Rhinolophus ferrumequinum: one gene and its partner. The protein of the gene in region 2 interacts with the protein of the main gene of each other region in a pairwise test. Links are inferred from orthologs where the notes say so. Each region holds a gene or a part of one and is shown on either strand. Other genes may lie near its edges.

Region 1 (7,215 bases), on a different chromosome or scaffold from region 2:
TGGGATTTCCTTGCCTAACACTGTAATTTTCTTAGGTTTCTCTCTTAGCTTCCATGTTTGTCTTTTTGCTTTAGTTTTTGGGAATTGACTTTTTTGTTCCCTGAATATTTCTTTTTTTGATTAACACCCTGATCTTGTTTCTTTGTTGCCAATCCTCTTATCCCTCTGAAGATATCATTGGTAGACATTTTAATGTTTTTGTCTTCCTGTGTGGGCTGTTTTTTTCTAAGTTATCATTTCCTATTCCTTTTGTGTGTGTCTTGTTTTGCTCTCTTGTTTTGATCTCATGTTAAAGGATCTTCTCAACTGTGATGATCATGTTTAAAGTGTGGAGACTAAGAAGGTGATTGGGAGCTCAGAGCATATAAATGGGCCTTTTTGTGTGTGTGTTTGTGTGAGTTAATTGTTGAAACAGAGTGAAATGCTTGGCCTCTCTGACTCCATCTTGTTCAAGCCTGCTTTATTCCCAGGCCCTTCAGGCTAATAGCTTCTGCTTAGGCTTGCATATAGCCATGCTAATAGAGGAATTCTGCTTGTGACTTGAGTTACACAAAAACAGTCCCTTACCAGAAGGTAGGTGCCTCTCCAGAGGAGATAAGAGAAGGAGGTAAAAAAAAAAAAAAAAAAGATTGTTTATCAAAGATATGCAGGGACCTCATGACTGGACTCACATCAACTAGCACAATCTTCCTTGGTCCCCTGCTGGTGCTCAGATGTCTGCAGTGGTCAGTCACCTCTTGCTTCTCCCATTTCCCCTTCCCTTGACATAAAAGAAACCTGAACTCTGTACTTTCTTACAATGAACTTGAAGTACCACTAGATCTCCTACTTTGTTTGGCGCCTTCTCAATCAATAAATCTTTCCTTACTCCAAACTCGGACGTTTTGCATTTTGGCCTTTTGAAGCGTTGAGTACACGGACTTTGGACCAGAAACGCTGTCAGATAAATCTTTCATAGAAACAGGAATGTATCAAGTGGGTCATCATAGTAGGAAAAAATTTAAAAATGTAAGTTTGTACATGTTGCTTTATTTCCATTCGGGAGCTGGCTTTCCCCACATCAGGCTCAGCAGCTGCACTTGTCCGATGCCCCTCTGCAGATGCAGTCCTGGGCACACCCGGCACAACACATGGGCCAACAGGGGCAGCAACTCTAATTGCAGGAAGTGCATTTGTACTCTTCATTTGCAGGAGCCAGTGCAGGTGCAAGAGCCACCAGTGCAGATGCAAGAGCCACCAATTGGAGCAGAAGCAGTTGGAGTTCATTTCGAGCTGAATGAGGCCGAAAGCCCAAAGCAAGTGGCGAAGAAGTACTTGGGGTAGTAGAAGTTGTGTTCTGGGGCTTGATGATTGTGAGCTTAATCATGGGGTGATCTGGCTGGTCTGTCTTATTGAGAAACCCTGATTTCAGTATCTCCAGATCTTTTGGTCACAAGACCCAAACAAGATTCTTCGAATTTCCTGCCTAGATATTGCAGACCAGGCAGTTAGTGTTCTTGGAGCTGAGTAGAGCAATTGGGCTGGGGTTGTGAGAGTAATTGTTTTATTATTCAGTATGTACATATTTGCTTAATCTTCCTCTTGTTTTACTCTCTCCAGAAGGGAAAAATTACAGTCTTTTTCCTAGAAGGGGGATGGTCAGAAGTCCAGTCACTCAAGCAGGGAAGGGGACCTAACTGCTTCTTAAACAGTTTTAATCGATCCTCCTGATTATAGGACTTCTCTCTTCCCCTTCACTGCCACTGCCAGAGGTGCCTGCGGTTATCAGGTCCTGTAACTTTTGGTGATTGTATGGTGCCAATCAAGTTGCCTTGGAGTTTTCCCATTACTGGTTTTCTAAATCATCTAGTACTTGTCCATTTTTGGGGGGCCTTCCAAAATGTTGCCGTAGTAGCCGCTCCCCTTCTCTTCATCTTTATGAACTTACGCTTAAAAATACCAAATGAACCCATTTGTATTTTCAACAATTTCAGGAGGGAAAACAATGAAGCTACATCTATTCGATCTGACATCTTTCTCCAGAATTACTATTTCTGTTTATTCCTGTCATCACTCTAATTTGAGCCACCATCATTGCTCAGCTGATTCACTGCAGCAGCCTGCCAACTGCTCGTCCTACTTCCAGGCTTGCTCTTTCCTTATCTGTTTTATTACACTGAAGTCAGAGTGGACTTTCTACAGAGCAAATGTTATTATTTCTCCACCCTACTTTGACTCCCTTTTGTTCTTAACTTGTAAGATCCTGCATCATCTGGCCTTGATCCACTTTTTATCTCATCTCCCAACTTTCTCCCTGTTGCTCACTGGGCTCCAGCCATACTCTAACCTATGTTTCTCTTAACACCCAAAGCTGGCATCTCAGGGTATCCCTACACACTGCAACTTTATCTGAAAATGTCTCTTACCACTGCCTCCAACCCCTCCTCCCCAAGCTTTTCCCGTTAATTGCTACTAATTGTCTTTCAGGTATTAACTTTAATTTTTCTTCTTCAGGGAAGCTTTTTGTGTTACTAGGTAGGTCCTCTGTTGATGGTCTGATTGTTGGAATACTTGCTATTGCTCCCCATAGAAGGGTTATACCTCCCTCCCCTGATGGTATCAATATTCCATATAATACACTTTGGGAAATTCTACATTGTAACTTCCATCACACTTTATTATTATGTGTTTAGGTGTCTGTCTTTCTGACAGACAAGGCAATATCCAAGAAGGAAGGGTCCTGTGTCCTTAGATACCATGGTACCCCCACTGTTTAGTATATTGCCTTGCCCACCCGTAGTAATGACAAAGACTCTCCTTGGCCAAACTCTAGTATGGCTTCTAGCAACTTAAGGTCATGTGTCTAGGATGATCCCTACCCCACTTAAAATGCCTGCCTGAGAAAGCTCTACACAGCCAGAATTGACTGTTCCGGCCAAAACCCGGTGATAGGCATAGTCTCCTGAGCCCCTTCTAAAAGCAGTTACTTTAGAAAGTTTGCAATTATAAATACTTTCTCTGCCCCTGAGATCTTCATCTTCTGTCACCCAGAACTATGTTCTCAAGGACCAGAGAGCTGTCTCCTCCCAGCCTGGTGGGTACCTTGCTCTGACTTATACCACTGCCTGTCATAAAGATAAAAGTTTGTTGCTCCTTAAGATAAGTGCCAGTTAACAAACTCAGGTGGCCTAGTCACATGGGGTAACACCCTTGAGTACCTTTGCCTTACAGTCTTTAAAAAGTTTCTCGTCTTTCGTTTTGCTTAGTTCATGTTGTACCCTCTTCCTATTGCAATAATTAGTACTGAACAAAATCTATCCTTAATGCTTTAATTAGTACCTGGCATTATCTGACAGTAAGCACACTAAATAGTTATTGAATTAAGTAATAAACAGGTTCTATATGGGTGTGAACAGCTGTGGGGGGGTGTGTGTGTCATAATTTCAAAACTTCTTTTGAGGTCTCATATCTGCCTCTCCCACTTTGCAAGAAGGTGCTTATCTGTTATTTTTTCTTTCATAATCTCTATATGAAAAATGACAATTAGACCCACATTATCCACAGTGCATTTTGAGACTGAACTAGTCAGATTCTTGTAGACAGATACAGAAAGGTATTTAAAACGTCACATCCCTAAATTTCAATTACCTGGTTTCTCTTTTAAACAATTTTTTTTTTCATTTATGGCTTTAAAGCTTAAAAAGTTTTACCATTTCTTCTCTGGGCCAACGACAAGAGTTCAATTCAGTCCAGAAAGACATGTAGATGCTAGAGTGGGTGAGTTTGTCTAGGCTTTGGCTGCAAGTGGCCCACACTCCTCTGTCTGTGGGCAGCACTCTGCTACCCGCTCCTGCGGGCTTCCGCCAGTCCTCCAAAATCTTGGCCAGGTAAAAGCTCCTGTCCGCACTGTTAGGAAGCCCAGAGCGCCCTCGCAATCCGTGACTTTCAGAGTCCACTCGTTCCTTGATTCAGAACCAGGAGACTTCCTCTCCCACGTTCCTGCCCGAGCCTCCGCCTCCGACTCCGCTTCCAACCGTGCCTGGGAAGCGGCTGCGAGTGTCACGTGCTAGGACTCGGGAGTGAAGCTGGCGCCGCCATGTTAATTTCAGGCGGCGCCAACACGGACTGGGGGAGGGCCGCCGACCAGCGCCCGGAGTTCCGACCCTTGTGCGCAAGTGCGGAAGTGTGCTGGCCCCGAGTGTGACTGGTTTCCGTCCGGCGGTGCCGCTCCGGCTTCCCCGAGACGTGTAACGGACGGTGGGCCGCAACCATGGCTGAGAGGAAACCAAACGGTGGCGGCGGTGCCACCTCCATCTCCTCGTCCGGCACTAATTTACTCTTCTCATCCTCGGCCACGGAGTTCAGCTTCAATGTGCCCTTCATCCCAGTCACCCAAGCCGCCGCTGCCTCGGCCTCCTTGCTGCTGCCCGGAGGTAGTTGGTGGGGCCAGTGTTTGCGGGGAGGCGGGCAGGGGGGCGGGGGGTGACGAGGGTGGGGCTGGAGGTTTTTCTTCTGCCTTGATCCGACCCTCTGGGTAGATTGCTAGAGCTGTCTGTGGCCACGTTTGAGTGGTCTGGGTGCTTTGGGATCTTGGAGGCAGGGGCCAGGATATAAGGCTTGCTCTCCGTTGAAGGACCCCTCTGTTTCGCGTGCTGGACACTGCTGCGCTGACATCCCACAAGTTTTTGTTGAACACTTACTGGTGTGCCAGTACTTGCAGAGAATGCAAATAAATTAGGCAGTGCTCCCTCTTCTAAAACACAGTAGGGGATCTCCTAGGATATAATGGGATCTCTCCTAGGATAGACATGTAATATTTGCAAAGTAGAGGTACATAATGCAATTCTTATCTTTCAAGACGGTGCATTCTCTCCTCTAAGAAGCTGTTCCTTGTTCTCTTAGGTTCCCACTCCTATGTGCACCATAGCTCCTTGTTCATATTTTTGTTATTATAGGACGATTGCTTTTTAATGATAGTGTGGCATAACTCAGAGCATGGTGTTTAGAAGCTGAAACTGTGTTCCAGCCCTGGCCCTGCCAGTGACTTGCTGTGTGACCTCAGGCATGCTACTTTACCTCTCTGTGCTTCAGTTTCCATATATGTGCAGCCTCATAGGGCTGTAATGAGAAGTGAATTAATTTTTGTAAAGCACTAAGTATGGTGCCTTATATAACGGCACAAAGCCGTTATATAAATGTTTATGAAATAAACACATCTGCCTCTCTGTTTTGACTGTGGGCTTCTTGAGGTTGGTAGCTGTGAGTTCTTTACCTTTTTATTTCCAGGATCTTTAGTGTCTGTCTAGCACATAGATGCTCAGTAAATGCTGAATATTTTTCCAATGAATAATTTATTCTTGCTTGTAGGACTAAGGAAAGTTTCACAGAGAAGTGAAGAAAGGCAAACTGGAGGCCATTGTACGCGCAGATTTCCTTTCCCTTCTGTTATGTGTTTTGGTGTGTACACCTGACATGTACACACATATTTGTTTATCTTATCCCACTAGAATATAAGCTCCATGAGAGCAGGAACTTATATCTAGAACAGTGCCTGGTCTGCTGTAGACCAGTTCTTCCGTATATCCTTGTTGAATTGAAAGGATGAAGTCAGGAATATGGATGTCTCATTTTGACAGTGGGCATTGCCATTTTTAGTGAAGGACTACCATGGCTGGAGCAGAGTGCTGTGGGAGGTTGCAGGAGTAAATGAGGTCACACATGGAGCTTTCCTGTCGCCTTCTGCTTCACAAATGTGTGGTTCATGCCCATCGTCCTTGCTATACAGCATTTGGTGTGTGTGTGCCACTGTCAATCAGTGCTAATAAGCATTTTCATTGTTGACTACAGGATAAGTACACCTTCCTTATTTTAATTTTATTTTTTTACTTTTATTGAGGAATATTGGGGACCTGTGTGTTTCTCCAGGGCCCATCAGCTCCAAGTCGTTGTCCTTCAATCTAGTTGCGGAGGGCGCAGCTCACGTGGGAATCGAATCAGCAACCCTGTTGTTTACAGCTCACGCTCTAACCAACTGCGCCATCAGGCCACCCGCAGGAGATAGCTTATTTTTTAACGAGAAAATTAATCATGTTAGAGCTAAAATTCTGTGACAATTATTTTTCCACGTCTATAAAAGATTAGTCCATTTGAAACCCATTCAGAGAATTTCCAGAGACAAAAGAAGAACCTGTCTCACTGGAAGCAATAGTTAGTCATTTCAGGGAAGGAGACACATAGGAAGCAGTTTCATTCATTCATCTGACATGGGTTGGGCGGCTTGTGTTTGCCAGGCCCTATTCCCGAAGAGCAGAGCGTTGCCCTCACTGACTGCTCAGTATGCGTACACACACTACTCAACTGTGCAAGCAGTTGTGATGCAGGTTTATAAAGCTGGGGGCAGGGATTGATAGGCTGCTGTGAAAGCTGTGGGTTTCAGGCTGGTGACCTGGGAGAGGACGTCGCTCTGGCCTTCAGGGCCTCGCGGAGAAGGTGATTCTTGAGCTCAGTGTTGAAGGGTACACAGAAATTAGGGTGTCTTGAGCTAGGCATATGTAAAAGTCTGAGGTCTGAGAAAACCTACAGATTTGGTGGTAGGTGCTCACATTCCCCCTTCCCTCCCCTCCCCTCCCTTCTCCTCTCCTCTCCCCTTCTCTCTCTGTCTCTCCCCCTTCTCCCCTCCCTCAGTAGATCATTGTGACTAGAGTGTGTGCAGGGGAGTGGCTTGAGTGGTCAGCTCACCAAGGGCCTCAGATAACGTACTGAGAAGTTTGTAGTTATCCTCTGGCGGGTGGGGGAGGCTTTGAAGGATTTTAAACAAGGCAGTGAAATTCGAAGTGTGTTTCGGAAAGACCCGGGTTGTCTGAGATTGCACTGGAGTAAACGCCTACGGTCGCCAGAGCAGTCAGTCTGGATGCCATTGTGAGTCAGCCAGGAGTGAATGCCACTCTAGCCCTCGTCAGCCACACTGGGTGTGAAGAGCAGGGACCAAATGTGAGATTTTTTGACAATAAAATTGTTGGGACTTAGTGTCTCACTGGAGGCCAGACTATCTCGGCTCTGTCAGCACAGCGTCCCCCTCTGCTCATTCAGTTTTAGCCCCAAGACCTAGCTCTGTGCCTGGCATATGATGGATACTGTGTATGTATTTCTTTTTTTGGGTATTTTATTGTGTACATATTTCTTGAAGGAAGATCTGAGTGATTAAATGAAGGGTATGAGAAAAAGGGAGGAGTCTGA
Region 2 (7,102 bases):
CTGCTTGGGCTGAACTGGGGGCAGGAGAGCTGCAGGCTGGGCTTCTAATAAAGACCAGAATCTCCTCTCCTGTGTTTTGTTTTCTTGGGGTGGGGGAGGGCAACGTCATGGCCATAGCAACTGCTTGGGAGCTTGGAGTCTCATCTCTTGCATCCTGGCTCGCAGTTGAGTTGCTTGGGGGCCAGCCACTTCTACGTGGGGCTCTGTTTACTATTAAAAAGGGGATGCAGTGGTCACTAGAGTGGGGAGATGTGGAATTTAGAATCCTGCTCTGCCACCTGTTCACTGTAACTCCACCTCTCCCCTCATTTGAAAAGTCTGTGGTGGGGGGAGGGGAATGCTTGTCCCGAAGGTCACTGAGCCCGGTGGGTTGGGACGGAGGTCCCTGGGGTGAGCCAGTTTGGGAGCTGGTGGGCTCAGGATGCTGAAGCGGCCCCTCCCACGAAGCCCTGGGCACCAATGAGAATTGATTCTCTCCTATCACCGCCCCCACCCGGCACTCAGGTTGCTTAGCAACCAGGGAACCTCGAAAAGCGAGCGTGCGCACCCCCTCAACTGGCCGGTAAGTACAGCTCCCAGCTCCCACCCCGCCAGCGTCTGCTACTCCCGCCGCTGTCGTCTTACGGGTCCCCTTTCTCCATCGCTCTTTCGCTCCCTACCCCACATCCAGCAGAGTCCCTGCGCCCTGCCCTAGCCCCTCCTCAACCCCCTGCCAAGCTTGGCAACAGTTAAGACCGAATGCAGGCACCACACTGCACCGCCTCCAACGTGCGCGGTCTGACGTCACTTCCGCCGGCGACCCCTTTCCTGACCCTGTCCTCCCTCCCCATACCTTGTCAAAGAATCGGAGCCACCGCAGAGGTGTTTGTAGGTTCTTGCTCCAGCAGCGACTGTGGGGCGGGACGCTTGGGTTTGGGGAGCTTGGTCCATTACCTGGCCTTGGGGTGGGGGTTCGATGACCTCCCCCTGTAGAAGCCCCGGAGCCTGGAAGGGGGCCCTGTATAGCCAGGTGTTGGTGTCTGCAAGGTATTTAGGGTAAGATCGCTGAACACCACGGGTTGGGGGAGTGAGACCTCAGGAGACGTTAGGAAGGTGGCTGGGTGAAGGGGGCAGCCTGTCCTGCGTGGGATCTCGCTTGGGGCATCCCAAGCATCCTCACTGTCCTCATCTGATACATGCTGCTGCTGGTCCCCACCCCTGGGGCTCTTGGAGACCAGAGGTGCCCTCCTGACGTTGATCTGCTTGTTTTCACCAGGTGCACGCCTGCTCCCTGGGGGCACGGGGACTGCCATGGCCCCCAGCCACCTTTCAGTGCGGGAGATGAGAGAAGATGAGAAGCCCCTGGTGCTGGAGATGCTGAAGGTGAGTACAGCAGGGGCACCTGGGGGTAGGGGCAGCACGGTGAGCCAGCTTTTCCTTCGAAGCCACTTCTGGCTTGGCCCCTTCTCCCTCTAGTGCCTTCTGCCTACCCCTGCGGTCAGGAGGGTTTTAATGCTGGAGGGCTGTGGGGTCTGTCTCCTCCCCGACACTCCTCAGAGCAGAGCCTGGGTCTCAGCCCTGTACTCATCCTCTGCTCCAGCAACAGAGCATGCCCATTTTCTGGCCGGGGGGCAGTCGCCCATTTTCTGGCCGGGGGGCAGTCGCCCATTTTGGTCTGATCTCAATCTTCCCTGGTGCCTCCCGCACATTCTTCTCCTGAATTGGGTGTCCTCACAGTTCCTAATTCATTCACTCATTCTCTCACTCATTCATTCACTCATTCAAAGCCCAGTGTGCCAGATGTAGTGTTTGCTGGTGCACAGAGCAGATGTGGTCCAGGCCCTGCCTGTCCTTCTACCACAGGCCCAGTCCCTTTTCCTTTGGGAGCCCCCACCCTGAGTCCCTCCTGGGTAGGGTCTTCTCCCTCTCCTTGTTCCTGGTGTTCACGGGGGCCCTCGCTGATGGGAGGCCCAGTCCCCTGCTCTGACTGCGCCTCCTACCCACAGGCTGCTGTGAAGGATACGGAGAACCGAGTGGCCCTCCACGCCCTGACACGGCCGCCTGCGCTGCTGCTCCTGGCGGCCGCCAGCAGCGGCCTGCGCTTCGTGCTGGCCTCCTTTGCCCTGGCCCTCCTCCTGCCTGTGTTCCTGGCTGTGGTGGCCATGAAGCTCGGCCTGCGTGCCCGGTGGGGCTCGCTGCCTCCACCAGGTGGCCTAGGGGGGCCCTGGGTGGCAGTGCGCGGCTCAGGTGATGTGTGTGGGGTCCTGGCCCTGGCCCCAGGCTCTAACTCTGGGGATGGGGCCCGGGTCACTCGCCTCTCTGTCTCCCGCTGGCACCGCCGCCGAGGCGTGGGCAGGCGGCTGCTGGCCTTTGCCGAGTCCCGGGCACGTGCCTGGGCAGGGGGTATGGGGGAGCCCCAGGCCCGCCTCGTGGTCCCAGTGGCTGTGGCGGCTTGGGGCGTGGCAGGGATGCTGGAAGGCTGCGGCTACCAGGCTGAGGGGAGCTGGGGCTGCATGGGCTACACACTGGTAAGGGAGTTCAGCAAGAACCTGTGACTCCAACGTACGCACCTACTGTGTGCGGGCACTTTCACATTCTCCCTGTGCGAATCCCCAGCCTGCCCAGGGCCCAGAAACTGAGGCCTGCAGAGGGAAAGACAGCCTGAGGTCTGAGGTCTGTCTTTCGTGTCTGAATTTCTCAGAGTGGTCAACCTATCTGGCCTCCTGCCTCAGATTCTGTCTGCACTGAGACATCTCCCCAGTCTGTCTCTGCAAAGCCTGCACCGTTTGTGGTACCAGCCTGGGTGACAGAGAGGAGGAAAGGAGTCTGAGCAAGTGTGCCTCCCCAAGGGTTAGGAGTTGGGGCAGGGACACCCCAAACTGGGATGAGGCCCCCACCATGAATGGGGTGGGGTTTGATGCCTGTGCTTGGAGAGGATGAGTCTGGAGCCAGAGGGGATGAGCAGAGCCTCTGCGAGGAGGGTTGTCTCCTAGAGAGGCCCTGCAAGGAGGGGGTGGGCACAGGAAGGCCGGCGGCCCCTCCCTGGGGGAAAGGGACTGCTAAGAAGGGTGGCCAGACCTGTCTGGTGTTTTTATACCCGATTGTTAATAAAGCCTGAAACTGCTCTGCGCCTGGCTTGCTCTCTCTCTGATGCCTTTTCCAGTCTGTCTTGGAATCCCTCCTTCAGTCTGGCTCCTCCTTTCCTGAGTTGACATTAATTGGTGGTGGTGGTGCTGGCTCAGGAGAAAGGGAGGCATGAGCTCACGGCAGCCTCGCTCCTAGCCAGCCCTCTGACTCACGCTCCCCATTACCGAGGTTTTCCGCCTCCCAGCTGCCTGGTGCCCAGAGAGTGAGTGTGTGTGCACATTCAGTCACCTCTAGCACCCAGGCCTTGACCTGAGGTCTGCCCAGTTCCCCACCCCAGTTGCCTCGGGGTTGGGGGACATATAAGTTCAACCACTTCTCCCTCAGATGGGGGGCTTTGCATCCAACTCCACGCTGGGGAACAGAGTCTCCTTTCCCAATCTAGGAAGTCCTTCCTGGTGTCTGGCTGGAAGCCTCTTGCTGCTGAACCTTGATCCCCAGCTGTGCCAGGTCTCAAAGGCCCACAGCTCCTGTGAATCTACCCTCTAGCCCCTACACCCTGGTCCAATCCACATTTTCCTGCTTGGATAAGAGAGGAAGCAGACGGGTGGGTGCCTCGCCCATGTCGTCCCTTCCCTGAAGCCTGCCCTCCGTCCTCTAAGCATCTCTACGCCCCGCATGCCTGGCTGGCCTGTGTGGGTGTTTGCAGTTGGACATCCTCCCTCCAGCCCGCCACCCCCCTCCCCCCCCAGGCCTCAGCCGCTGGCCAGCCCCCTCCCCGCCCCCCTCCTGTCCCCTGCTGCCTCCTCGGCAGCCTTTCTTGCTCCTGGCAAAGCGTCTAGCTCCTGCCTGCTCCTCCCGGGTCCAGGGCGCTTCAGCAGGCGCTTCCCCCCTCCCTCCAGTGGCGGCTGCCTTCTGCCCTCTCCTGATCCTCCCCTCTCACCCCATCTTTGCCCTGGACTCTGCAAACATGAGGGTCTTGGCCTGCCTCCTCGGTGAGTGACCCATTCTCCTTGGGGACTCGGGGGCCTGGGCCCCACCCTCTGACCCCTGAGCTCCTGCAATTGAGGGGCCCATTCTTCCAGGGCCCATTCCTGGTGCTTGGGGACACAGGACATCTGCCCTCCCTACCTGACCGCCCAGGGACCCAGCCTTCTATATGCCAGTCCCACCCTCTTAGGAGGCCCAGCGACCTACTCATCCCCACCACCAGGCTTGACCCTTTGGGGGGGTCACACACAATTTGACCTTTAGCCAGGCCTCTCTCTGGGGGAGCACAAGGGCCTGGTCCCCAGCCCTGACCTGTTGCATCTGGGGTCCTGCCCCTCCACCCTCGAGTCCTGCTTTCTTCCCAGTAGGGGTTTCTGGTTCAGAGGTGCAAGGATGTGTGTGTGTGTGTGAGTGTGTGCGCGTGCGCGCGCTGGGGTCAAGACTGGGGAAGGGACCCCTGGACCTGCCCCTCACTGTGTCCCACCCCTCCAACCTCCCTTCCAGTGGCTCTGATGGGGATCCAGGCTGTTGGTAAGTGTCCCCAAACACTCCTCTGTCTGGCCTCACCCAGCTCCAAGCCCATCCCATTCCCAGCCTCGCCCTCCCCTGGGATCCTGGCCACCTACCATCTGGTGATGACCTCAGGCACCATTCCCCCAGAACTACCGCGGCAGTCAGCCACCCGCTTCCTGCAGGGACCAGGGTCTCTCACCACTACTTTCCTGGACCCCAGGCTTTGGGGTACCCACCAGCAACAGGATACTGGCCTAGTCGCACTCTGGAGGGCTACCCTTTGCCCCAGGGCTTCCAGGATGTCACACCCTTTCCTCCGTTCCCCCAGAGCGGTTGCGGCTGGCCGATGGCCCCCACGGGTGCGCGGGCCGGCTGGAAGTGTGGCACAGTGGGCGCTGGGGGACGGTGTGCGATGACGGATGGGACCTGCGGGACGCCGCAGTCGCCTGCCGGGAGCTGGGCTGCGGGGCGGCACTGGCCGCCCCCGGAGGTGCCTTCTTTGGGGAGGGTGCAGGTCCCGTGTGGCTGAGTGAGCTGGCCTGCCGGGGCGGCGAGGGGCAGCTGGGCCTGTGCCCCCACCGAGGGTGGAAGGCCCACGTCTGTTCCCATGAAGAGGATGCAGGCGTTGTCTGTGCAGGTAAGGACCCCAAATCCTCAGCCCAGTCACTCTGAGGGTCTAGAAGTCCCAACATTCCCTCCAGAGCCAGGGGTCTTCCTCCAGGACCCCAACTTATCACTGCCCAGGGATCCTGGCCCAGCCTCTCCCAGGGCCCACCCTCTGGAGCTCCCCTGCTCTCCGCAGGTCAGCGTGTGGCTAACTCGAGGGACATGGACGGTTCACCTTCGTTCCTGGATGGGGACCCCTGGCAGGGGCTGTCTGGGGAGCTGAGTCCCAGCTCTGAGGAGCCCCCTGTGACACACAGTGAGCCCACCCACCCATGTCCCCTCCTGCTTCAACCGTGGGGGAGAGGGGCCTTCCACATTCATGTTGCCCAGGGGGCAGACAGATGCCCATCTCCTCGCCAACCCCGAGGGTCCTGGCTCAGCCCCCCAGGCAGGAGTAGGGTTGAGCGGCTCCCTCCCACCCTCCTTACTGTCTCTTCTTCCAGCCCCCCGCCCAGCTGGGACCCCCCAGAGCAGCTCCCGGAAGAAAAGCCCCCGGCCTCCCAAGCAGGCCAAGTCCACCAGAGCCCCTGCACTGATGGCTGGAGCCCCACACCACGGTAAGTTCCTTGCAGGCCTCCCCTCTGCAGATCTGGACCAGCTTGGGCCCCCTGCGTGTCCTCCTGAGTCAGGCCTGGTCCCCCACCCCACCCCACCCGGTCAGGGAACCCAAGTGTCTGTTTCGAGCACCCAGGCACCCTGCCCCACTTACATTCTCACTCTCCCTGTAATGGCCAGGCTGGCAGATCTCAGGCCACTGCCCTCTCCAGGCCTCAGTTTCCCTAGATGGAAAACGAGGGGTGTTTAAATCCACTTATCCCGGCTGCTTCACACAAGGCTCCTGTCCATCCCCACAGAGCGGCTGCGCCTGGCCTCGGGCCCCCACGGTTGTGCAGGTCGGCTGGAGGTGTGGCACGGTGGGCGCTGGGGGACGGTGTGTGACGACGGATGGGACCTGCGTGACGCAGCTGTGGCCTGCCGGGAGCTGGGCTGCGGGGGGGCACTGGCTGCCCCAGGAGGGGCCCGATTTGGCCCAGGCTCAGGGCCTGTGTGGATGGATGATGTGGGGTGCGGAGGTGGAGAGCAGGCCCTGAGGGACTGTCCCCGGAGCCCTTGGGGTCGGAGCAACTGTGACCACAGCGAGGACGCAGGGCTGGTCTGCACAGGTGCGTTTCTTCCCTGGGCCTGGATCTGCCCACAGCACAGTGGCATCTGCAGTGTCTCCCTGGGTGTCTGAAGCATAGTGTGCAGAGGAGCACAGAGCTGGGGGCCAGGGACAGTGAGGGGTCCCTCCATGTGCCACAGGGTGGGAAGCACGTGGGGCCCAGTTCCTGGGAGATAAGTTGAGGCTTCAGAGAGGGTTACATTGTCGGGGAGAAGTGAACCCCACTGAGGTGCCCGGGGGAGCTCAATGCCTTAAGATCTTTAATACTTCAGTGCGACCCTGTAGGGGAGGGCCTGTCATTTCCGAGGAGAAGTAAGTGCAGGCATTTCTGGCCTCTCTCTGGCCTGCAGTTCCGCCTCCCTGCATACTGACTGGTAGAGAGATGGATTCCACATTCCCCCAGTGGCATCTCAGCTTTTATTCCAGAAAGACCCAACAGAAATGAACCCTAAAACTGACGAGAGGTCTAGACTAGTGGTTTTCCACGTGGGGTGATGAACAATTATCCCATTCCCCAGGGGACATCTGCAAATCCTGGAGACATTCTTGGTTGTCACAACTGTGGGTGCTCCTCGCATCTGGGGGGTGGAGCAGATGTCCTGGACCAGGCCCAGGGCAGCCTCACAGACAAGGATGTTCCGTCCCAGATGTCAGCATGCAGCTGGGACTGGGGACCCAGGCCAGGAAGCGGGATGGCGGGGCCCAGGG

What was found.
Region 1: the proteins of SSC5D (region 2) and SEC23IP interact in binary tests that used the Homo sapiens proteins (3 or more experiments, as listed by UniProt). The two-hybrid records come from large-scale screens. The link is inferred for Rhinolophus ferrumequinum from reciprocal best matches to the Homo sapiens genes SSC5D and SEC23IP.

Annotation. Positions count from the first base shown.
Region 1 is NC_046299.1:9,622,479-9,629,693, reverse strand, and holds the start of SEC23IP (SEC23-interacting protein), read left to right. Parts: upstream 1-4,156; 5' UTR 4,157-4,249; coding exon 4,250-4,412; intron 4,413-7,215. UniProt on the Homo sapiens protein: Plays a role in the organization of endoplasmic reticulum exit sites. Specifically binds to phosphatidylinositol 3-phosphate (PI(3)P), phosphatidylinositol 4-phosphate (PI(4)P) and phosphatidylinositol 5-phosphate (PI(5)P).
Region 2 is NC_046298.1:48,596,766-48,603,867, forward strand, and holds the start of SSC5D (soluble scavenger receptor cysteine-rich domain-containing protein SSC5D), read left to right. Parts: upstream 1-3,899; 5' UTR 3,900-4,033; coding exon 4,034-4,058; intron 4,059-4,557; coding exon 4,558-4,584; intron 4,585-4,894; coding exon 4,895-5,203; intron 5,204-5,368; coding exon 5,369-5,488; intron 5,489-5,675; coding exon 5,676-5,789; intron 5,790-6,086; coding exon 6,087-6,395; intron 6,396-7,102. Other genes in the region: NAT14 (probable N-acetyltransferase 14), read left to right, coding at 1,291-1,362, 1,986-2,534.